4 linked regions of the Schizosaccharomyces pombe genome follow. Each later gene encodes a partner of the first gene's protein in a complex. Each region holds a gene or a part of one and is shown on either strand. Other genes may lie near its edges.

The links.
Region 2: tif303 (region 1) and int6 share a complex: the UniProt entries of both Schizosaccharomyces pombe proteins name them as parts of the eukaryotic translation initiation factor 3 (eIF-3) complex.
Region 3: tif303 (region 1) and sum1 share a complex: the UniProt entries of both Schizosaccharomyces pombe proteins name them as parts of the eukaryotic translation initiation factor 3 (eIF-3) complex.
Region 4: tif303 (region 1) and tif301 share a complex: the UniProt entries of both Schizosaccharomyces pombe proteins name them as parts of the eukaryotic translation initiation factor 3 (eIF-3) complex.

The regions. Positions count from the first base shown.
Region 1 is NC_003424.3:2,579,600-2,586,174, forward strand, and holds tif303 (translation initiation factor eIF3c), read right to left. Parts: upstream 3,391-6,575; 5' UTR 3,378-3,390; coding exon 621-3,377; 3' UTR 501-620; downstream 1-500. Other genes in the region: tom6 (uncharacterized protein), read left to right, coding at 4,264-4,303, 4,342-4,448; serine/threonine protein kinase Ppk15, read left to right, coding at 6,156-6,344, 6,392-6,575. UniProt on the Schizosaccharomyces pombe protein: Component of the eukaryotic translation initiation factor 3 (eIF-3) complex, which is involved in protein synthesis of a specialized repertoire of mRNAs and, together with other initiation factors, stimulates binding of mRNA and methionyl-tRNAi to the 40S ribosome.
Region 2 is NC_003423.3:937,648-943,108, forward strand, and holds int6 (translation initiation factor), read right to left. Parts: upstream 2,662-5,461; 5' UTR 2,615-2,661; coding exon 2,581-2,614; intron 2,525-2,580; coding exon 1,053-2,524; 3' UTR 974-1,052; downstream 1-973. Other genes in the region: oss1 (oxysterol binding protein), read right to left, coding at 1-444; U3 snoRNP protein Nop56, read right to left, coding at 3,178-4,671; chaperonin-containing T-complex zeta subunit Cct6, read left to right, coding at 5,295-5,351, 5,397-5,461. UniProt on the Schizosaccharomyces pombe protein: Component of the eukaryotic translation initiation factor 3 (eIF-3) complex, which is involved in protein synthesis of a specialized repertoire of mRNAs and, together with other initiation factors, stimulates binding of mRNA and methionyl-tRNAi to the 40S ribosome.
Region 3 is NC_003424.3:5,356,430-5,361,869, forward strand, and holds sum1 (translation initiation factor eIF3i), read left to right. Parts: upstream 1-2,494; 5' UTR 2,495-2,526; coding exon 2,527-2,589; exon of another isoform or gene 2,590-2,644; coding exon 2,645-2,765; exon of another isoform or gene 2,766-3,121; coding exon 3,122-3,924; 3' UTR 3,925-4,075; downstream 4,076-5,440. Other genes in the region: F-box/WD repeat protein Pop2, read left to right, coding at 1-813; rer2 (cis-prenyltransferase), read right to left, coding at 963-1,073, 1,129-1,345, 1,392-1,651, 1,764-1,970; met8 (siroheme synthase), read right to left, coding at 4,143-4,902, 5,074-5,108. UniProt on the Schizosaccharomyces pombe protein: Component of the eukaryotic translation initiation factor 3 (eIF-3) complex, which is involved in protein synthesis of a specialized repertoire of mRNAs and, together with other initiation factors, stimulates binding of mRNA and methionyl-tRNAi to the 40S ribosome.
Region 4 is NC_003423.3:3,311,829-3,318,744, reverse strand, and holds tif301 (translation initiation factor eIF3a), read right to left. Parts: upstream 4,415-6,916; 5' UTR 4,408-4,414; coding exon 4,369-4,407; intron 4,324-4,368; coding exon 1,564-4,323; 3' UTR 1,293-1,563; downstream 1-1,292. Other genes in the region: DNA primase large subunit Spp2, read right to left, coding at 1-343, 543-738, 797-962; histone acetyltransferase complex subunit Nto1, read left to right, coding at 5,865-6,916. UniProt on the Schizosaccharomyces pombe protein: RNA-binding component of the eukaryotic translation initiation factor 3 (eIF-3) complex, which is involved in protein synthesis of a specialized repertoire of mRNAs and, together with other initiation factors, stimulates binding of mRNA and methionyl-tRNAi to the 40S ribosome.

The sequences.
Region 1 (6,575 bases):
AACATTGATAAAAAAATTCTTATAAAGTTTCCCTCATTTTTAGAAATAATATGAAACTTATCGCAGTTGACTTCGTTAGAGGTTTACCATTCAAGATCGTGTGAATGTATTGTGTAAGGATTGTTATGCTTAATACGACTTCAGAAGTATTCAATAGAATTTCAGAACTCTTGTTTAGAGGTTCAACAACACAATTAGAGATACTTCGTTCAGTAATAGATTTTTTAAAGAAAACAACTTCAAACCATACACCGATAGATTGAGCTCGTACTAGCGACCAAAAATTCGATTACACACATCATGTCTGTTTTCAGTCGATGGAAAAAAGGCGACCATATGAAACTGAAGAACAAAGCTTGCAGAAATAGCTTACTGTAAACGTGTATAATGGTCAACAGATTCAGACTTTCGAAGCAAAGTATCTTTACAATTGAAGATAATTACCAAACGGTAAACTACATTATTTCCGATTAACGTTTGTAACAAAACCACTATGAAGTAACTCAGATGTCTATTGATCTATGGAAACCACCTGATAGTTAAATACTTTCTTCAAAGACAAATAGTCATTCATTTTATTGAAATTAGATCGCCCTATTTTTCACCGATGCACAACAACTTTAATTCATGTCTGAACGATTCCGATTTTCGGTGCGTTCATTGCGTCTTTTAACCGAGCCACCCTTATCACGACGTCTGTTCTCCTGAGGATTAGTGTGTTGGGTCTTCTGCTCATATAGCTTTTCATTTGCCTCATTCAATTGTGCAGTTTTCTCGCTAAGAGAAACAGTCAAGCTTTCCAGCTTGTTAATCTCAACACGTTCAAAAATGATGGCACCGTGAACTTGATCAAGAGCAGCATGGATCTCACGTTTAGATAATAACCGAGAAACAATAACAGTAACACGCTGAACAGGAAGATCAAATGTCGTAGCCAAAAATTCAAGAGAAACAGAATCGTAAAAAGCAGCATATGCTAATAAGTATGTACGTAGTCCCTCTTCCCGAATCTTCTCACTAAGCATTTGCTTAATTTTGTCAGCATCAGGCATTAAGCTCCAAATCTTAATAGCATGAATAAATTCTTCACAACGACGCCATTCACCATCTGCCAATGCTTTCGAAGCTTGCATTATATACTCGCGGGTATTTTCAGGAGGACCAACGAAAAGCTGACGATCAATGTATTCAAGCATACGACGGAAGGGTCGGCTGATTACACGCTTTCTAGAATCTGAAGCAGTAGAGCTAGCAGCTGCCATTGCGGGAATCTCCATCAACATAGAACAAGTCAAGTAAACACATTCAAGCAGTTCTAGATTTATGTGCATATGGAAAGGTAAAACCAACTGCTTATCCAAACGATCCTGATCAGGTGTAAATTGTCCAAACTTTGGTGCTTGTATGCCTTGTCCAAGGAGTTCCTTTACACGACCAGTAGTAGAGATGTCTTGAAGAGCATACTGTGTTTCTTGAACCATACCGTTGCGGAAAGCACACAAACCAATTTGAACCATAGTGCGATTGTGTAAAATTTGAGTAGCAATGTCGGCAGCATGCACGCTATCTTGTAAATGCGACATAAGTAACATATCACGAGCCTTGTAAAAACGATTTTGCAATGCTTCATGATAAATATGACACAGCATAGCACGGGTACGAAGTAAACTGACACCATTATTATAAAGATAGACACATAGGGAATGGATTAAAATATCAGGAGTCGTAGTCGTGGCACGAGGAGTAATTGTAAGATCAAAAGTAGGAGGGAAAGAACGCCAAGCAACCTCCTCATTAGCGCGAATTACTTGTTCAGGCTTGTAATAGACGCGATCAAGACGGCGCATGATCAATCGAGCAGTATTTTCAACCACCCCAATTCGCTCAAGGTAACCTTGGCTTCTGACAAGAAGGGTATAAAGTGACGTTTCATCCTTCAGACGGTCAATATATTCAGGAGTATGAGGATCAATCATTTGAAGAGAACGAGTAAATTCATCATCCAATCGTTCTAAGAAAGAGACTACACTACCTTGAACTTGTATGACTCCATTATTATTTTCCGCCGCAGCTATCGCTTCCTCCTCTTCTTCATTTTCATCTTCTACCTGTTCAACAATAACAATTTTGGGGTTTGCATCAAAGATGTCAAGAATACTGTGTAACTCAGTAAGAGCGGCATTCCATTGATCAATAGGCATGTATTGTCCAGAGCCAGTGTTTATATCGAATCTAACCGCCAATAGGGCAACTTTAACGCGAAGACGTTGATAATCAGTTACGGCTATAGTCGAGAGTTTTTCTAGTAAACGAATTTGTTCAGAACGGTCAGTGCTTTTCTTACCGCGAGCTTCGAAAATAGCTCTGAGATACTTGAAAATATCTGCAGGTGTAATTTCTTCTGGTTTTCCTAAGCCCTCAGTAGGTGCAACTATACCACGAGTAGCTACACCATCAACAATAACTTCATCTTGCCCAGCCTTACCGGCAGGCTTGGGAATTTCGTTTAATTCTGCTGGCTTCATGAAACCTTCAGGATCCTTACGGTATCTATCAATATCACTTTGAAACTGACGGTTGTTTTTACGAACACGCTGTTTTAAAGCGTTGAACGCACGGCCGTTAGCAGCATCCAAACTTTTGATAAAGGCCTTATCAGCGGACTCGAGTTTTTGATCAAGAGCAGACAAGAATTCGATGTACGGAGGAGGATTTCTGCCGGCCTCTTTGCATTTTTGAGATACTTTGTTCAAATGATCAAATTCATTAGAAACAACAATCCAGTTGTTTGAACTCATAGCGTTTTTAATAGTTTCCATGCAGCTAATAAACTCTTCATAGCGTTTATCTTTAGCACTTTTAACAACACGACGACCCTCTTCCTCATCACTACTTTCCTCGCTGCTTTCACCACGGAGAAACTTAAGACCAGCGGGTTTGGCCTCTTCTTTTTCGGGTTTCTTTAAGAAACTAGAAGGGCCAGAACGTTCAGATTCATCAGATTCCTCTTCAGATTCAGATTCCTCCTCAGACTCAGACTCGGACTCAGACTCGGACTCAGATTCATCAGAAACTTCGCTATCCTCTTCGGATTCAGTCTCTTCTTCCTCTTCTGAGCTTTCAGAGTCAGATTCAGAGTCTTCGGAAGCAGCCACGGCCTTTTTCTTGGGAACCTCTACTTCTGACTCTTCGCTTTCAGACTCTTCTTCAGATGATTCGGACTCCGAACTGGATGCGCTTTCCTCTTCACTTGATTCTTCTTCAGATGAAGAGTCATCTTGTTTCTTCAACCTTGAAGAGGTTAAACGGTTTTCTTCAGAGGAGTCAACGGATTCTGCATCGCTGTCGCTAGAGCCTCCCTTGAAGAATCTCGACATGTTGGTGGTTGGCAAGTTTTTTTTCGTGCAGCAGTCAAAGGAAGGGTGAGGACCCCCTTCCACCTTTTTGAAAGAGGTATGTTATCGTTAATAATATTTTGTGTCCGTTAAAGTGGATTAACGTAATTTGTTATTTAATAAATTTATCCAAAACTGTCGGCAATGAAAGTTTAGAAAACTAAGAAGCATGGGGTTTATCGATTTTGACTTGATAGAATGTCATGATTCTTTATAAGCAATTTCGTATCACAAATACACTCAGAAATCATTAACGCAGTTGCGGGACAAAAACTGTACATAATCAGCGTCAGGTTGTTTATAGAATTACTTTTGATGAATGAAATACGCTGAACAATTTAATTATGAGGAAGTGATTATATTTTCCATCTAACCAAGTGTATACTCACTTTGCTTCCTTGTCGCAAGCAATTATCTGCTTAGCAATTAATAATCCGAAAAAAATAATCGTTTATTTATTGAAAGTTTTAATTGTCTAAATATTGATGCTCTTGAGATGTACATTTGTTAAGAAAATGAATTAAATTATTCTAACCCCTCCCCCGAAAAAAAAATGAAAAAATACTAAAAAAGATAATGATTATGGAAAATTTTAAAGGAAAAAATTTGTTTCCGCAGCGCTACTCTTGATTATTTCGTAAGACCAAGTAAACTAAATATAAAGCGTTTTGTCTTAAAAAACTATTGCAGTATAGAATGTTTCCTCTACTGCAAAACAAAATCCATACAGCTAGCTCTTAGGGTTATCAATTAGGGTTATTGAAGCCATACATTTTACCTGATCACTGTTTATGGCAGCGATCACAGTCATGTTAAATTACGTTACAAGTCGGTATTTAGCCACGTTCCTTCAACCACTTAGTCAAAAATGGATCGCATTTCTGCTCAAAAAGATATTTTCAAAAAGGGTATGTCCCTGTAAAACTATTAATTTAACATCTTTTAGTCGTCAATAAGGAAAACTCTTCCATTTTCGTGAGTCTTGGCGTATTTGCAGTTTCTGTAGCCATCTTGAAATCCAGACTGGGAAACTTTTTGGTACCACAATTGTAAATGGATGTTTGAATTTCACGGACTAAACGTCTTCAGCTTTGGATTCAGAAAAATATTACTTCATAACGTTGTATGGTTGTTTCATAAATAAAATGAACTCCCAGTTTCAATAAAGGTTCAAAGCTAAACAACATATATCTTTCATGAATATCATTGTGCTTTGTAATTTTTGTTAGCGATCTAAAATTTGAAATATTTATGTTATCTAGTGTCATGCGAAGTACGTAGGAGCATTAGTTGGTAGGAACATTTTTACATATAAGCTAGTTCGATTCTGATATCTTGCGTCTATTTATGTTTCCTTAGATGTTTGAAGTCAATAACCAATATTCGTCCATTCACTACAGATTTTTGTGTGAACATTGGACTAGGAACCATTTCGTTTGTCGTTTATGCGAAAATTTTTATGTACGAATGTAGTCGGCGTGGAGAATGTTTTAACAACGACTCCTTCATTTACAGATAGATGCCAAACAAGAAACGTTTTTCCTCCTTTTAATATCCAACCGGTTACATGGTTGTGCAACATCCAAATATACTAAGTATGGAGAATATCCGTTTTTTCGAAAAATTGCTACTATTCTGAATTAAGGATGCGTACTATTGGTAAACATTGCGCTTGATGTTTCGAATAAGCCTTTCAATGGAAGTTGTTTCTTATTTATCGCGGTTATTGGTATAGACGGATGTTTTGCACCAAATTCATTCGTCTTTTCAAATACGAATTGATTTCGTTGTGGAGAGTAAGAGCAGGAACCTTAATGTAAGCGAAATTATCGCCTTCTTAAGTCATGTCACGGAAACCTGAAACAATATTTAATTATTTAATTGGGATCTAAGATCCAACTATTTAATAATATAAGAATCAAAAGATCCTCTTCTAGTAACTTTTTCTTGTATTTTTTTGCAAGCCAAAGTTTTAATGACGGCCTTTTAATTCATTGATACACTCTATTACGTAATAGATTGAAAATCAGTAAAACTGATTAAGGCATAGCAAGCAATTGTACTTTATTTCAGTCATCGTCAGCGCCGTTACACGCGGCTCACTACAAAGCGGTGTGTCGTCATCCCTTTCCTTCAGATTCCTCTCTATCCTTTAACCAAGCCGCTTTTTTTGGTTAAATCCTTCATCTTTCAATAAATTGCGAAATCTCTCAGTGTTGTTTTTCGTATAAATTTGTAATTTATACGGTGGAGTTGATTAGTTATTCGTTCAACTCGCACTGTGCATATTTATCGGCTTATTTTAGTGAATATTTTCGATTTTCTGCCGAATATTATATTTGTATTTGTAGCTACACGCTATAAACAAGAAAATTAGAAGATTCCTCCAAATTCATATTTTAAGCTTCATATCCACAAGTGTTTCCCTTTGTTCCAGATCGAGATTATCGTAAGCGAAACTAGCTCTTTGTCAGTTGTTCCATTAAATTGATTAGCCGGTTGGTGCGTTCATTTCAAACTCTTTGACTTTTTTCCTTTAAAGCACTTCTTTTTTAGATTCCTTTGGTTAATCTGTCAACTACTACTTTGTAAATAGTATAACTTGTGGTTCCTTTTTGCACTGTTGTGCATCGACTCACGTTCCAAGAGATCACTATTTTACGTTACTTTAAAGTGATTCGAGTGTGAATGAAGGCACTCGTATTCTGCCTATACTGATATATTCTTTGCAATACTTTACAAAAAGGCGTCTCTATTCATATGGATTCGGATTCGCCCATTCTTCCATTATCGAACAATCCTCCTGCTGCGAGGACTCATGATCACTCGCAGCGTAATAATCATGCTCGTCATGTCTCGTCTTCTGGAACAACTTTGTTTGCTCCTGTCAAACCGGCAACCAAGAAATACAATTACAGAAGGGTGTCTCCCCATGGAAGCTATATTAGCGTACGAAATTTTTTACTTGCTCTGCATTTTACTAATTAAACATATAGCCCTTAGAAGCAATGACTGTGAAACTAGCTGATACATATTCAATTTGTAATCCAAAATTCCAGTTTTCTTCCGAACAAAACCCTCGGAGACCACTCACCAAACCCAGTGAAGGAGTTCACAACCATGGTTTTGATAACGTCAATCATGATTATGTATTGTATGTTAACGATTTGCTAGGAACGG
Region 2 (5,461 bases), on another chromosome or scaffold:
ATCTAATGTATGATCTTCTCTTACTGTAGGATCTGTTACGACCCATTTGCACCGGAAAAATTCACCAAGCACAGAGTTGTAAGGCTTTACCACACGACCACGAACAAAACGAAGGTCCTTTGTAAACCACCAACGCAATACGCCCAACATTCTTTCAAGTTCGTCATCAGAATCGCCCATGACTGCAAAGTAGTCAGGTCGATCAACATAGTTCCAGTACTCCAAGTTTCCAACAGGCTCTAACAATTGTGCAGGTAAACTAAAGCGAAGACTAGCAATATCCTTCACACCAATGCATTGTTTCAATATGGAAAGAACTAGCTTGAATTTTCCTTCTTCTTTCTGATAACCCTCTACTTCTCCATCATCCCTGACTAGTTCCGTAGGGTTTTCAACTTGAATAGGTTCATTTTCTTTTTTTATTGCTTGATTAGGATTTGGCATCTTTAGGTCCTGGTCCTACTACTGACCAAAAATCTATTCTTTTCAAGAGATATCTTTGCGTTGATAAATGTTGGTGGCACGGAAACGGATGCTGTCTCAAGCTTTCGTGGTGTACTGGTTTGATATGAAATTTAAACACCAAACTTACATATTAGTTGTAGCGAGTCTTTCGATTAAATTACGGTAATACCGTTGCAGCATCGTTTATTTATCTATCAATTAGGGAAATTTAATTTAATGCAATTGGATTAGTATTATTACAGCAATTTAATATATACATAAGTTAATTCCACCGACACATTTTCTACATGTTGAGATAGCGGCATTAATACTTTTGCATTAATTATTTATTTTTTATGCACTTCAGAAAATAAAAAAATTTTAGATAATATATATTTTTTTAATATCCCCGCATGTTTCAAATTTCCAAAATTAATATACTAATAGCGATATTCAATGAGCACGTTTCTTTAAATAGGAAAGTACACAGTCATCTTCTACAATAACGAGTTGTTTGAAAATACAAAATTAGCGAATTAATTAAACTCCTATGTTTTATTTTTAATGTATGAAATATATTCCACCTTTAAACTATTTGCTAATCTTGTCTAAACAGTAGCATGCTTTAACTCCGAAATGCTTTTAGCAAGAGATTGCTCCAAGTTTTGACTTTCAAAACTTAATGACTTTGTACGGTCTATAATCTGTTGGAAAGCTGAATAAGTAGGGTGTTCAATTATTATTGATTCACCGTCCAACTTAGCTTTAAACCCAAATTGTACCTCGGGTTCGGGCTCTTCGGCTTCAGTAGCAGTTTCGGCTTCCGTGATTAAATCATCAGCAACAACATTTGTAGAGGTAGATTCAATACTTTCATCTTCAGTACTTTGATCGGCAGCTACATTAGAAGCTGCGGCAACTGAAGGATTATTACGGTTTTCAACAAGTTGTATTAATTGAGCACTGTCCATTTCCAGCTTGTTAGCAAGCACATCAACACTTATGACACTGTGAATACGGCAATATGCCTCAGCAAGTAATTTGCGAGCACCTTCCAAAAAGTGATCGCACAAAGATACGAGAAAAAAGTCGGTTTTCAAAACCTCTTCACATTCTCTGAGGCAATGCTGAGCTTTTTCAAAGTCGACCTCAGTATACAAAGCAGAAATAAAAGAGGTCACAGGATCGCTGTATTCATAGTTTTCTTGGCTAATGATGCGTACGAGATCTCGCATCCTTCTTTGATAAGATTGCCTAGGGTTACGAGGTTTTTGATTTGCATTATTTTGGTTAGTAACAACAGCGACAGTCAAATATCTTAATAGCCAGGGACAAGAGGTTTGGATGGTGTTGAGATAAGGAGTATAGAAGAACAAATCACAAAGAGTATCACAACCATTTGCATGATTAAACAAAGGAAACAAGGACCAGTGGAGGAGCCAAGTTCGATTTCTCAATTGAACAGCAGAATCTTTAAAGCTTTTGGAGTCCACCATTTCGCGAAGTTTTCCCAATTCCTCCATAGCCCCATCCCAATCAACAGTCAAAATTTCAGAAGCAAATTTACCCCAGGTCGCGGAGGCGTTTAATTCAGGGTCTTTACTGAAGGCACGAAAATGATAAAGTAAATCTGATGCACCACCGTAGTTTCCACAATTATATTGAAATTGAGCAAACTTGTAAAGAACAGCTATACGTTCAGGGGTAATGTTGTAATGTTCTTGTAGGTGTTGTAAATTTTGACCTTTATCTTGACGAAGAGCTGCAATCAAGTCAGGATTTTCTAAGACACCTAAAATTCCTTGAACCTCTTCTTCAAGTTCAGAGAGCTCTTGCAAAACACTGCGTCGCTTTTCAGCAAAAGCATTTGCCATGTCCTCGTCGGTATGACCCCCATGAAGATTAGTCCACAAGTTGGCCACATAATCAGTCATATTGGTATCTTTAAGCAAATCATACTTAGCTTGTAAAAGCTCCTTTGGATCATGAGTCTGTCTTAAAGATAAAAATTCCAATAGAGGAAAAATGAGATGGCGGTCAAGGTGTTGCATAATTTTTTGCGACAAATCATACTTGACCGCTATAAAGGTTAGAAAACATTCTCCTGTATTTAAAAATAAATCTAAATTAGCTTACCTAAAGGGCTTGTACTCTTAAGCTCGGATCCCATATCTGATATGTTTCACGCAAAAAAAAAGTGCGTGGTGTGGGGAGGATAGCACAACTCACCCAAAACTCTAGTAGTAGCCCCCTTAGACTACAGTACTGAAAAGCAATATGACAATAGTAGGTCAGCAATGTTCGTACAAAAAATATTAAATTCCTTAATGATATTTTTGCTTTTTTTAACCAATAGTTTTTCATAAAACTAATTAAGCTCGAACTTACTACCAGCTAATGTAAATCAATGTGTAAGACAAATTTTTATCCGATTCTTGATCTTTACTTAAATTGTAATTATTGTCAAATACTGGTTTCTAATATTTTTTTAACTTTCGATATAAATAGCACTTCTTATACGAATAATACATAAATGCTACTTAATAAAATGTAAATGCTTACTAAGAGATAAGTTTTACACGTCCATCCATCAAAATGATAAGCTCGATATCAATCGATTTAGTAATATTACAGTATTTACGCCCATAATCTATAGCAAATTTTTCAATTACAAGTTGTTCTAAATATGCAAGAGCAATATGGTCCCCGTTATATCCTAATAAAAATAACGTCTCAATGGCTCTTCTTTTTCTTCTTACTTTTCTTGACTTCTTCTGATGCATCATCGGCAGAACGCTTTTTCTTAGACTTCTCCTTTTTCTTCTCCTTCTTGTCTTTCTTTTCTTTCTTGCTCGGCTTTTCTGAAATGGTTTCAACAGTCTCTTCAACGTCAATGTCAACCTCCTCGTCTCCGTCTATGTTAACACTCGATAATGCCTTTTCATAAGCTTCTGCCATTGCAATACTATTGCGAGTAGGGGCGACACCGGTATCGAAAAAGTTGAGACGTTCCTCGACTTGTCGACGAAGAACTTGACCAAATGCCGTAGTTGGGGCATCGCTAAAGTTATCAATACGGCTAGCAATAGAACATTTGTTAGCCAAGAAACGAGAGATGCGGCCTTTGTTTTTAGCGCCAGCTTTTCCAATAAAACTAGAATGGTAAATAATACCGTATTTAGGCGTGTTTCCACGGGTTTTCAGAGCACGGAACAAAGCCTTTTCAGCACCTAGAATCTGTACCGTAGAAGCCGGGCATTTTGACAAGTTAGTTAGACTTCCGGCATGAGAAATCAAACGAGCACCAACCATCTCACCAATTAATTCAGCAAGATTGGGAGCAACAACATTCATCTTCTGAACCAAATAGTTATGTAGCTGTTTACGATAATTACTAAGTTTAATAACACGTTCAGCAAAAGATAGAATATTCTCGAGGTCAATTTCAGAGATATCTTGTCCCATAGACACTTTACCAGCGTTGATTATACTTTGAGCAATATCTTTGTCATCGTCTACAACGGCTGCCAGATCATGAAGCATTTCGTCGTTAATGGTGGTTTTATCACCAACCAGTGTAACAATAACAGCGTATTTGTAATTGTCTCCAACGATCTTCGAAAGCTCAGGGAAATGCCAAGAATACCACTCTTTCATGCGCATAGCGAAAGTATTAATGTCCTTGTCAAGTTGATCAAGGATAGCAATAGCTTGGATAATCATGTTGTCATTTCTGTTAACATTGAACTTCACTTTTGCGCGAGAGTATGAATGTCCTAAACCAAGCTGAGCCCTTTCGAAATCACCGGGTGATAGTTGCTTGAGAAGTTTATCACCATGAAAACGAATACCACGGAGAAGATCCTGGGTAAGCTCAGAAGTGTCACATTCAATGGCATCAATTTCGGATTTAATAGACGTTGCTAAATTTTTGTCTTGGACTCCCAGAGACACCTTTTTCTTCTTTGAGGCTTTCGGCAAATTGAGTTCCAAAAAGTTTTTCAAAAAATCATTCAAAACGCCTTCAGAAATGTCGTTGGCATTTTCCAAAGCATGGGCAGCATTTTTAAAAGGAATAAAACTTCTAAGCTGCACCACTTTACCAAATTTTGAAATATCCTGAAGAGACAACTGCACTTCCTTTGTCTTCGCTGCTATTTGATCAGCTCCAACGACATCAAAAAGGGAATACCCTGTCGCAGACTCATACAACAAGTAATCAGCCATTCTTCACTTGTAGTACTTCACGCCGCAATTCTGACTCGGCGTTAGTGCTGTGGGTGAAAATTTGTGCGAACTATTCAAAAGTTTGATGTATTTTTTTTAACGTAGTTTATGATAGGGTATAGTAACCTACATTAAATTAATTTTGAAGCGATTTGATTCAGCAATACTAAACAACGCTATTTTACACTACGTTGTGTATCACTATATGTCACATGTCGTATTTATTCATCATGCCATCTTTGACGATACCGAGATTGAACTTAATGATAACCTATTAATATTTTATATTGTATTGATACTGCAAATAAATATTCCGTTGAACCTCATTCCTCAGTTCATTTATAAGCGATAATAGTGATAAGTAATAATATAACCTAGATGGTATAATACCTATACTCAGTTGCTACTTATATTACCTGCGTATTGCAATACAATAGGTCACAAGGAAAACTCGCCGTAGTCTAAGTATCGTTAAAATAGATACCAAACTGCGTAGCTTACATTTGATAATTATTAACGCAGTACGCAAATTTACGATATTTTTAAAGACTTCAGTAAATATTCGACTAATAAGTAGCTGAACTAACCAACTACAGTTCATTTGGTGATTTACTTTAAGCTCAATGTTGTCCTTATTGAATCCCAAAGCGGAATCAATTCAGAGAGCGCAGGCTCTTCAGGTTGGTCTATAATATTTGTTTAAGCAGTATCGCTAACGTTGGCAGGTTAATATCTCAGCAGCAATCGGTTTGCAAGATGTCTTGAAAAGCAATTTGGGGCCAACTGGAAC
Region 3 (5,440 bases), 2.8 Mb from region 1:
ATCAGATGCTTAGAGATCTTAGTTCCGAGTCGTCTTATTCGCCATGGAGTTGAAATTGTTGAACCAGATCAACCGTACATTGTCAGCGGCTCTCGGGATCATACACTTCGGGTTTGGAAGCTTCCAAAAAACACGGATCCTCCTTATCTTCCAGATAATACAAACTCTATTGACCGTTGGGAGAAGAACCCGTATTTTGTACATACTTTGATAGGACATACAGACTCTGTACGAACTATATCCGGCTATGGTGATATACTTGTGAGTGGGAGTTATGATTCTTCAATTCGCATTTGGAGAGTTTCAACAGGGGAATGTCTTTACCATCTGCGGGGTCATAGTCTTCGTATATATAGTGTTTTATATGAACCAGAAAGGAATATTTGCATAAGCGGTAGCATGGATAAGTCCATTAGGGTTTGGGATTTATCGACAGGGACTTGTAAATATGTGCTTGAAGGCCATGATGCCTTTGTTACGCTTCTTAATGTATTCCAGAATAGGTTGATATCAGGTTCTGCTGACTCCACAATTAGAATATGGGATTTGAATACTGGGAAACCATTAATGGTTTTGCCGTCTAATTCAGGCTACATTAGTAGCTTTGTGTCAGATGAACACAAAATTATTAGTGGTAATGATGGTTCTGTAAAGTTATGGGATGTTAGGACTGGAAAGCTGTTACGTTTTCTATTAACAGACCTCACAAAAATATGGCATGTCGATTTTGATGCTATGCGTTGTGTGGCTGCAGTGCAGCGTGATGATCAAGCATATTTGGAAGTTATTAATTTTTCCGGATCAAGACCGTAGAAAGTTTCATTTTAACAATATTTAAGAAGACATAATTAGAGTAGTGTCTAACTATTTACATCAGCTACTAACACATATTAAATGTATACAATGTAAAATTAACAGCCAAAGCCTATCAAAAGTAAATAAGTAACGAAGGATTGAATAAATTATGCTGGTTGGTTTTGTAACTGGTATTGAATTAACATTGGGAAAAACTTCCAGATAGAAAAATCCGGCCAGTAGAAATCGATGAATTTTATCTCCGTATTTTTGTGACACTGATAAAATTAGTTGAATATCTTTGACTAGAAAATTAGGAGAATTTTTACTTACCTGCCATAACATAAAATCAGATAGACGCTCCACACCGCTAGTGCGAATCAACAAGTCTAAAGGAAGACTATCTTTTATCAATAGGTTTTTTTCAAATATATCTTCATCTATATCTTCTGGAGTGATTGTACCATCTTCTGCCATTTTTACTATTGATTGCACAGAAGTAGCAATTTCATGTCGAGAAGTGTATGGAAAGCAAACATTTAATGTTGCCCTAAGATGTCAATTAGCAAAATAAAAATTTGAAAAATTTCACATACTTTGTGTTATGTTTTGTAATTTCCACAGCCTTTAGAGCAGTTTCTAAAACGTCAGGTTGCAACCTGCTAAGATCGCCAACAATGCGAATACGGATCCCATACTGATCAACCAAATCACCATGAGCAGTAATTTGCGTTAAGCTGTTTTTTGCAATCTCCATTAACATATCAACTTCATATTTAGATCGCTTAAAATTTTCAATGGAGAATGTGAAAGCCGATACTTCTTTAACTCCTAACTTCAGACACACTTTTAATAGCTTACGCAGGGTTAGTTAATGTACCAAATTGTGCAGAACGTAGACGGATACCAATGCGCAAAACATGGAGAAACGGTACGTTTAACCTTCTATTAATGTTCTTTAAACTTACAGATTTTAAAGCTTCAAAACCTGAGCTATGACCCTCGATAGTTTCCATCCTTCTTTGACGAGCCCACCGTCGATTGCCATCCATTACAAAGGCTATGTGTTGTGGTACTTTGCCACGTTTAATTGTATTTATCATCATCGTTTCTAATTGATCAAGTGTCCATTGTAATGGAGGACAGTGAATAAACCAGCCTGATAAATTACCCATATTGTCAAGATATTTTGTCAATTCTTTTCTTTTCCTTTATAAATGCACGCTAAATATCAAAGAGAAATAATTATCTTGATAAACAATTATTTTCAAAAAACGATTAGATGTTTTTGACGCTTCTATAAAACACTCAGGTTATCCGGTTCTAGATATGTTTTATAAGTATAATTACCAAGCACGCTAGAAAAGGATTTTTAGCTAAGGAAATATACTTTCAATCGTAAACGAATGGAACAAAGAGACGCTAGTTTAAGACCAAACGCTTTTGTATTTTTTTTTAAAAATCACGAAAGAAATATTATTTTTTGTACAAATAAGTAAGACAGACAAAATTCAAACAAAACCACAAAATACTGTTTTCAAAGTGAGACGTGCGACCTTTGGGTCTAACTAGTCTAACGCAAGTGTCTCAGAAATGAAGCCAGTTCATTTAAGAGTGTCGTTAAGCCTCCTTATTTTTAATACCATCCTTAAGTTACGCTAATTAGAATCAAAATATTACAACTAAAGACTTTTCGCTCAAACCCTCTACCAGCACTTTCCTGTTCAAAAGATGAGGCCTATCATTTTACAGGGTCATGAGCGTCCTTTGACTCAAATAAAATATAATCACGATGTAGGTTTAATAACCGTCCATTATATGTGGAAAATTTACTAATTTTTGTGTGTAGGGTGATTTATTATTCTCATGTGCCAAGGATAAAGTGATTAATGTCTGGTTTTCACACAATGGTGAACGCCTAGGTACATATGAGGGTCATACTGGTGCAATTTGGACTTGTGATATTAATAGTACGTGAAAATTGGTGGTGATGTATGTTGGATTAAGACATCTAAAGGTATACGGATTATGGAAGTATAAGGAAACACGAATAATGAAACATATCATGACTCTAATAAATGTATTTTTTTTATTAGTCGTCCGATTGCAGATGGTTATACTCGTGATCCACGATTCTGAGTTGGCGTAGTACTTAAAGTTAAATATGCATGGTGCATCTCCTTTACTTATATTAATGCTACGTTTACCTCACTTCACTTCCTCGTGGAAAGCATTTAAACTTCTTTTAAATCCTTTTCCTTCTTCTTGATGCCTCAAATCCAACTAGATCATCTGTTCCTTTTCCAATGGTTACTAACTGAAACAGAAAGTAGCACTTTAATGGTTAGTGGAGCCGCTGACAATACCATGCGTCTTTGGGATGTTAAAACAGGAAAGCAGTTGTACAAGTGGGAATTTCCTACTGCTGTCAAACGTGTTGAGTTCAACGAAGATGATACCCGTATTCTTGCTGTTACCGAGGAACGTATGGGTTATGCTGGTACCGTCACTGTTTTCCGTGTTCCTATTTCGGAAAGCGATGCCGCTGCTGAAACCCCCCTTTACGTTATTACTACTCGTGAATCTAAAGCAACGGTCGCTGGATGGTCTTACTTGAGCAAGTTTCTCTTTACTGGTCATGAAGATGGCTCCGTTTCCAGATACGATGCTATAACCGGAGAATTCGTTGAATCTAAACAAGTTCATAATTCTGGTTCTACTATTACTGATCTTCAGTTTTATCCTGATCGTACTTACTTCATCACTTCTTGCAAGGATACGACTGCTAAAGCTATTGATGTTGATTCTTTTGAAGTCATCAAAACATACCTTACTGATACGCCTCTTAATACTTCTAGTTTTACTCCTGTCCAAGACTTCGTTATTTTAGGAGGTGGTCAAGAAGCCCGTGATGTTACTACTACTGCTGCTAGACAGGGTAAATTTGAAGCACGTTTTTATCATGCGATTTTAGAAGAAGAGTTAGGCCGCGTTAAGGGTCATTTCGGTCCTATCAACACAATAGCTGTCCATCCCAAAGGAACCGGTTATGCTAGTGGTGGAGAAGATGGTTATGTTCGGGTGCACTTCTTCGATAAAAACTACTTTGACTTCAAGTATACATTGTAGGTTAATTTTATTCAAAAAACTGTTGATAGTATAGTAATGGACAACGGAACTTTTTTCCAAAGATGTATCATTTTCGTTTAGGGAGCATTATATGAAAAATAACCTTCTATGAGTACAAGAGTTTTTTAATAAATTCCATTCAAAATTCAAATGTTTTAAAGTGAAAAGTAATGTAATTGTCATATTCCGTAAAGCAACTAACTTATCAAACGCTTCTTTTAACGAGCTTTTGAAACATGTTTGAGGAGAACAGCCCCAGAAATTATAATTGCTCCAAACCATATGTAGTTGTCTATCTTGCTGTAGGCTGGAGTCGTTATTTCTCGATAACTAGGTGTTTTTTTTGGGAAGTATCCCAAAAGTCGGTTGATGAGATTTTCGTCGAGCATGGCAAGTTCCTCCAAAGACCACAGTTCGCAAATCTCAATCATCCATCTCATTCTTTTGCGACTGTTTTCAGGTTCGGGAACAATGTCTCGTAATTTTTGTCGTAAAAGGCCAGTTTTTTCCAATGCCATACCAGTAGCTGGATTGATTGAACTTTCGATTTTTTTTCGTATTAAACTGGCAAGTTTTGGACCTTTACCATTGGTGCTAACCATAATTTGTAGAGGGCCGTTACGGATTTCAGACCCAAAGTAGAAATCACATTCAGGTGGAATATCCGCCGCATTGACCGGGATTTTTTTGCTTTTGCATAACTTATAAATTTCGGAAGACAAGCTGGGATCATCTATGGCTGTAAGTACCATGTTTACATCGTCAGACAAATCTTCGACTAGAAATCCCCTGTCTCGCCATTCAACTTGCTTCTCCTGTATTCTCCAAGCCACTTCTTTACAAAGACCAGCTTTTGGACTTACAACGATAACATGGGCATCCGCATTCAAAACATGCAATATACGCCCAGCTGCCACAACGCCACCTCCAACAATTAATACTTTTTTACCTTGTGCACGCCAAGCAATAATTAATGATCTAAAGCTTAGATTAGCCTAAAAATTACCTTGAGATACATCAAAAAACTTTGCTAGCTTTCATTTTGTATGCTTTGCTAATTTTTCAATTCTGTGTAGATGAAAGTTAAGATACTAAAAAGCTGAAAATGATTTATAGAGCCTTGTAACTTCATAAAGATGCTTGACTTACCCACCAGGCTGCACAGACTGATATTTTGAAGCCATTATTCAAATTTTATCTTAACCAAGTGTAGGTGTTCCTGTATACTTGAGAATTATAGTATCGCCAATTACAATTCGACATTCAGTATCTGCTTCCCTATACGGGTTAATAGTTGGGAATCCTATTACGCGTATACTATTCGTTTATTTAAGACCTAAATTTTCCAGTGAATTAAAACTACCTTGTGAATAAAATCCCGAGGACGTGCAAATTTTTGAAACTATTTCATAGCACCAACTAAGCATATTCCTATACATCATAGATTAATTAATATGCTAAATTTATATATTTTTTTCATTGACAAGAAATATCCATACAAAAGTAATAGATGAAA
Region 4 (6,916 bases), on another chromosome or scaffold:
CTCAAGCGCTTTTTTTAAGTTTTCTTCAAACTCTTCAACAACTAGACTTACTTGTTCCGAAAATGGTACGTAAGCGTATCCCTTGTGAACGAAAACAGCCCTTCGTTCTACTAAATCCGGAACTTTAAAAAAAGGTACTTTGAAGAAAGATTCGTTTTCTATATTTCTTTGAGAAGAAGCCTGTAGCTTTTCATAAAAAACGTCTTTTTCTTCTTGTGAAACAGATTCCCATTGAAAATCAAGACTATCTATAAACGCTTGACGTTCTCGGGTTTCCTCATTCACAAATCGAAACCGAAATAACGTGGATTCAGCTCTTAAAAACCTGATTCGTAATTCATCACTAATGAATGCGTTAGGAAAAGAATAAAAGCAAGTTTAAATGTATTCATATATATAATGCTTTCTGTTTAACTGAAGCAGCAAATTGATACCCACTTTATGTTCAATTTACTACTTATGCCATAACGCGAACGCATTTATAAGTCTAAATGAGATATTTTTCGACAGACAGCACTCAAATATAGCACATTTTTACTTACGATCTGCTGAAAGCCAGGCGCAGAATGAAATGAGAATAATGATCTTTCCTTCTTTCTTCATCTAAGGAGTTTCCTTTTACAGTCCTAGCCATGTTGCTACTCATCGGCAGACGTTTATCCAGTATCTTTTTTATAATCCCGTTCAATTCATTTTTCGTCTTATTGCGGAGCATTGCTGACTCAATTTCACCCAAAACTAAATAGTTAGCTTACTCCAAAAGAATAGAAAATAATAAAGAAAATGGAAAGCATACCAACTAATCGGTCTATTGCCCATGTTTCAAACTCTTCAATGCTTATTTCAGAGACAGGAGGTTTCTTATAAAAATTAAGTCGCGTAGGATAACTTAAACTCTCAAAACTAGCACTAGAAAAATTTTGATTCTTTTCAACTACTCGACTTTTGGTCGTTCTGAACATGGTGGTTAGCGAAGAGTCTATTTGCGGTAACAAATTGTCGTGCCTCTCACCAAGAAACCTTTTTACTTTGAGTGTCTTTAAACAAATATTTTAAGCTGCTTAACCTTTTTGGTACTAATACAAAACACGTTGCTAATAATTAATGAATTATTTCTTCACTCGTTGTATTCAGAATTATTGAAATGAGAAATGCATACTACAGAAACGTCAACTGTAAAAACTCATCGTCGCTTATAAACTTGACATGTAACATCTTTATTCGATTAGTATCGTTCTACATTTACAATTAACAAGTCAAGCTTTAAGCAGTATTATACAAATTAAAAAAAGTTCAAAGGTTAACGATAATTATCTATTAAATAGAGCTACAAAAGGCTCTTTTTATACACATAACCGCTTTCATGAATTCCAATAGCATGAAAGTAACCAACTACCCTTGTAAGAAAAAGGAACTTACAACTTTCAATAGGAGAACACATTAGTTCATTTAAATTTATCAGCTGTGACATTAGATAATGCATCGTAAAGACTTGACTCCAATATCCAATTGCGACAATAATTAATTGTCGACAGGTTTATTTTCTTATAGACAGTAGGTTTACTACTGTTGTTGTTGATTACGTCTGCTTGGTGGAACATATGCTCCCTTAGAAGGAGCAAGGGTCTCACGAGGAGGAACAGAACCACGAGAGTAGCCACCACGAGAATACCTTGGAGAGTCTCGTGAAACACCGCCAGCACTAGCACCGCCGCGCCTCCAAGCACCAGGACTAGGTGAAGATGCGCCAATATTTGCTCTTCTAGCAGCTGCTTTCTCGGCAAGCTTACGAGATATTTCTTCATCACGCTCTTGCTGAATACGTCTTTGGCGTTCCAATTTCTCAGCCATTTCGCGCTGTTCGCGTTCTTTAGCTTCTCTAGCTGCACGAGTTCTTTCCTCGATAGCACGTTTTTGAGCTTCTTCTTGCTCATGAAGCTCACGGTTTGCCTCTTCCTCAGCAGCACGAGCAGCCTCCTCTTCAGCTTCGCGAATAGCCTCAGCCAATTTTTGTTCGAAAATTTCTTTACGTTGCCTTTCGCGCTCTGCATCAATGACATTTTTAGCTTTGGCGTATGCCTCCTGATATGCTTTATCACGTTCATCGTCAATATTTTGCTTATAGGCATGAATATAGGAAGCAAATTGAGCAAAAGCCTTTTTGTCTTTAATGGCTTGTTCATGCTTACGCTCTTGTACTTCCTTGCGTTGTTTCTCCCTCTCGTAAAAGATTTCGCGGTCATGTTCGGCTTGTTGTTTTGCGTCTTCTTCCCACAATGGGATAGCTTCACGACGATAAGCACGTTCCAAATGGTCGATACGCTTTCCAATAACACGCAAACGTTCGTTCATACTCTTATTTTGCTTTTCGACTTGTTCGATTTGCATAGCTCTCAATTTATCAGCATCCAAATGCTCCAAGTCTTCGGCATTGACTTCCAATCCACCCTTAGCTTTGAGCTCCTCGGCCAACTTTTTAGCTTCGTTAATGCGAATAGCTTCCTTCTCACGACGAATCCTTTCAGCATTACGTTTATTAATTTCTTCTTGAACGCGGAGAGACTCGGCTTCAGATTCTTGCTTTTGTTTGAGAGCGCGTTGAGCAGCAAGCTCAGCTTCACGTTGAGTAGCAAGTGTATCAGCCTGTCCACGACGTAATTCGAGAAGACTACGCTGAGCAATGACCGCTTTACGCTCCTGTTCAACACCAGCCTGAGCCCTTTCGTAGGCAGCCTCGGCTTGTTGCTTGCGTAAAAGGCAGAAATCGGTATCAAAACGCATCAAAACACTAGAAAGGGATTTGGCAATCCGCGTAAGTTGAGATGTAATTAATTCAGATGGAGTAGATTGAAGAGAAACAGAATCCGAAGACTTAATGGGATTAGAAAACAAGTCAGAAGAAAAGCTAATGGAATTTTCAATATGGTTCAAACGAATAGAAAATGCACCTTTCTTGTTACCATTCATAATGAATTTCTCAATTTGACCAGGGTTAAAATCGTAAGGCTCCTCGAATGTAGCAAGGTCCATAACATATTTCAATGAAATGGAATCATAAACTTGAGACAGTTGTTGGAAAAGACGAGTAAGAATAACCTGTTGTAAAGGACGAATGTATTGAGCAGTATCATTACTTTCTGCCAATCTTTTGATGATAGGCTGAAGTTTTTTGCAAATGCTCAATGGATGAAACTCAACTTCCAAAATCTGGTACAAATCACGGATAGCCTGATCACAGAAAGAAAGAACGCCACGAGAAATGGCATCCTTAATTAATGTTTCACGCGTAGGTGTTTTCGATAAGTTTAACAAAAGAGCCAAACGAGCATTCTTGCTCTTGGCATCTTCTGCCTCAATGGAAGGGCCCGATAATTTGTTGGCATCAATAATAGGGATAGAGAGAGCGCTTAAAATTACAAAATTAGCAGTAGCGGGTTTTTGCACATTTGTAAATGTGAAGTACCTATTCCAAGCTGCAGCATGAAGCAAATAATTATCACAAACCAAAAAGATTTTAATCAATTTACGGTAATAATTGCCAAGCATGACTGCAGCAGGAGCCCTCTTAGAGAACGTAAGCAAGCTGTGAATGTCTTCAATGGATCGGAAAGCTTCCTGCCAGAGTTCAAGCTCAACAGCAACGTTTAGCTGAGAGAAACGCATGTCCAGATGACGCTGCATAGTTTCAGCATCATTCAAGTTAATAGAGTGTGGAGCGTTTGAAAATTTAGAAGCATTGCCAAGATGGGACCGAAGGAGTTCACATAGACGGCGAAATTCGGTTTTACGCTGATACTTGAGGCAAAATTGGAATGCAGAGTTAGCAATTAACTGATACATTACTTCTAAACGAGCATTATTACGCAAAATATCAAGAACTGTACGATAAGCATCCCACAAAAATTTCAACCATGGAGTGACCAAAGCACGGTCTGTGCGGCTCTTGGAAAGGTCTCCCGAAACCAAAGACATCATGATGCTCTCGGGAGTTTCAGTAGCCTCAAGATCGTCAACATATTCAACTGATATCTTGTCTGCCTTCTCCTGAGCTTCTTGAACTCTTTTATTAGCAAGTTCAATAAAATGCTTGACTACATTCTCAATAGCGGTAACTGAGGTGTTTTGAACTGCGTTCTTGTAGGTGTACAAGCCTTCCTTTGCAATTTTTCCTTTGCGTAAATGAACACAAAGTTCGATGAAACGCATCATAATAGGCTCGAGAGAAAACCCCTGCGCGTTTCTTGATCTTTTCAAAACTATAGTCTCATGAAGAGATTGCAGTGCTGAGCTGTGCTGATCTAGAGCTATCAGCTCATCGGCAAGCTAATTTATGTTAGTCAAAGTAAGTAAAAAACTCATAATACATACCCTTAGCACATTTTCGGGCTTTCCTTGAGGAGGTGCCATGTTGTGCAGTTGAAAACTTCCCCCTTGTCGTAGTAAAATTTTATTACACGAATAGCGAGCTACCTCGCAGTTTTATATAAGCCACTAAACAAGAGGTACTTAATTCTTGATTTTGCAAAAAAAAATGTTAGCACATGCATATATATATAGTTAGTTGTTCATATCTTTCTTAGGTTTGACTTGAATAAGCATCACTTTTTGTGCAAAGAAATTAGTGGTTTACCGAATACGATAATATGACTAAATTTGAATAGATCGCCTAGTGTGAAGTGCTAACATACTCGTTAATCTATCATGTTTGTTTAAAAAATACCAGTTCAGTTTAGAACAGAGGAAAGCTCTATTTTTGCTTTTATTTGAACGTTTATGGGATAGTAGTCAGATTTTTCTGTTGCCGCTACTAATTACTATCGTTACACAATGTACATCCAAGAAATATTAGTACCGTTATAGTTTTGGAATTTTAGCCGTAGATCTGTTTCTACGCTAATCACCAAGTCCATTCTTTGTTTGATGTATTTGGTGATAAAACTAGTTAGTTCTTAAAATAATCTTTATTGCCGTTGAGTCGATACTCGCTTGAGTTCCTCATCAGGGCTTATGCATTGTTTTATACTTGTAGCATTGTCTAAACTCTTATTTACAATTGGCAACAAACTTATATAAACGTTGAGACCTTACCAGTGAAAGAAGTGTGGTTTGAGCGAAATATTTTCCGAGCCAATCTAAAATTTAAAGTGTTATCCTTGAAAAGTAGCAGAAACTCGCATTACTTTTACTCAAAGCTTGAATAAAGGAAGAAAGATTTAGCGAATATAGTTTGTCAAAGTATTATAATAAAGAGGTCATAACCCTATGTATTCCGAAAGATTTTTTTGTTAAAAAACGCTAAGTCCTCAATCTCTTCGACGCTAGGTAAACTCTAGAGGCCCATTTTGATGAAGCAATTTAATTGTGATTGGTGTAAATGTTAGACTTCTAGAAGAATAAACTAAGTGAAGTATTCGTTGATGGCGGGTACAAAAATATTAGCTTATAAACTATTCACAAAGATTCTTGAAAGGGCTTTTTATCAAGCATCTCGAAAATCTTTGTACTTTCACATCAACTGTATATAATTGTAACTCTTACATTTCCGTAAAATGCAAAATCACGCTTTCCAATTTCCTCTGGTTTTCTTTGAAAACAACACCAATAAATATAAAAAGAGAAAGAACGGGAAGAATAAATTTACCCCTTCCTATGTCCAAACTATTTTCATTTCAGAGTTCAACTGTTTACAATCATCTTTTTATTTCGGTCATTCACGTTACCCCCGCTTATTCTGCTTAATCATCAGCGGCAGAATGCACTATTGAAGTTTAAGCAAAATTGCACCTTTTTCTCGTAAATATAGTTACACCATGAAAGAAATGTAAAAAAGATAGTATGGTAAATCTATCTTGTAAAAGGCTTTCATGCAAACCTTCCGACTTACTTCTACTGGTCGAAATATTCTAAGACCCGATGAACTTGCTTTTCAGCCGAGAGAAGAGATTCCCTATAAATCTTTCCATCCAGACCTACAAATAGACGAACCTTTGGAAATATTAGAAGGTGACCATACACAATATGCAGGCCTTCGTGATTCTTTAGTAACCTATAAATCCGAGAATTCTTATGTGCTTAAAGCTTTGCTCAATGCCAAGATCGAAAACGTAAAGCCAGTAGGTGTTCAAACGGAAAATATTAATCCACAAGAGAAAAAATTTGGATATAAAACTGCGAAACAATTAGATTGGAGTCCAGACGAATATTTCAAGTTCGTTGCTATACATCCTTACTCAAAAACGTCCTTTCCTGTATCCTACGACTTGGATGAGTTAGACACAATGTGGTTAACATATTATAATGAGTTTCAACTTTCATCTAATTCAGAGTGGGAAAATGTTTCTAAAGAATTTTTAGAAATAGTTCTTACCATTATTGAACGCGAATGGCTTTATCTAGAGGCTTGGATGCCTAAGATTGAACCCGTCAGAGTGGAGGATGAACTAGATGGTCGTTGTGTTATTTGTAATGAAGCAGAATGCGAAAACAGTAATGCTATAGTTTTTTGCGATAACTGTAACACTTCTGTTCACCAGAATTGTTATGGAATCCCTTTTGTTCCAGAGGGTCAATGGTTTTGTAAGAAATGTTTACTAGCCCCTCATGAAGTTATATGCTGTGCTTTTTGTCCTGACAGAGATGGTGCGTTTTGCACAACCTTGGATGGACGTTGGTGCCACACAATTTGCGCCATAGCAATCCCTGAAATATCTTTTCACGACACTAGTAGATTAGACTTGGTTCGAAACATTGCTTCAATCCCAAAGTCTCGCTGGAAATTGGTGTGTTGCATTTGTAAACTTCGATGGGGTACTTGTGTGCAATGCTCAGATAAAAATTGTTATGCAGCTTACCATATAACTTGTGCTCGACGTGCAGGTTTTTTTTACAAAATATACTCACATTCTGCAAGTTATGA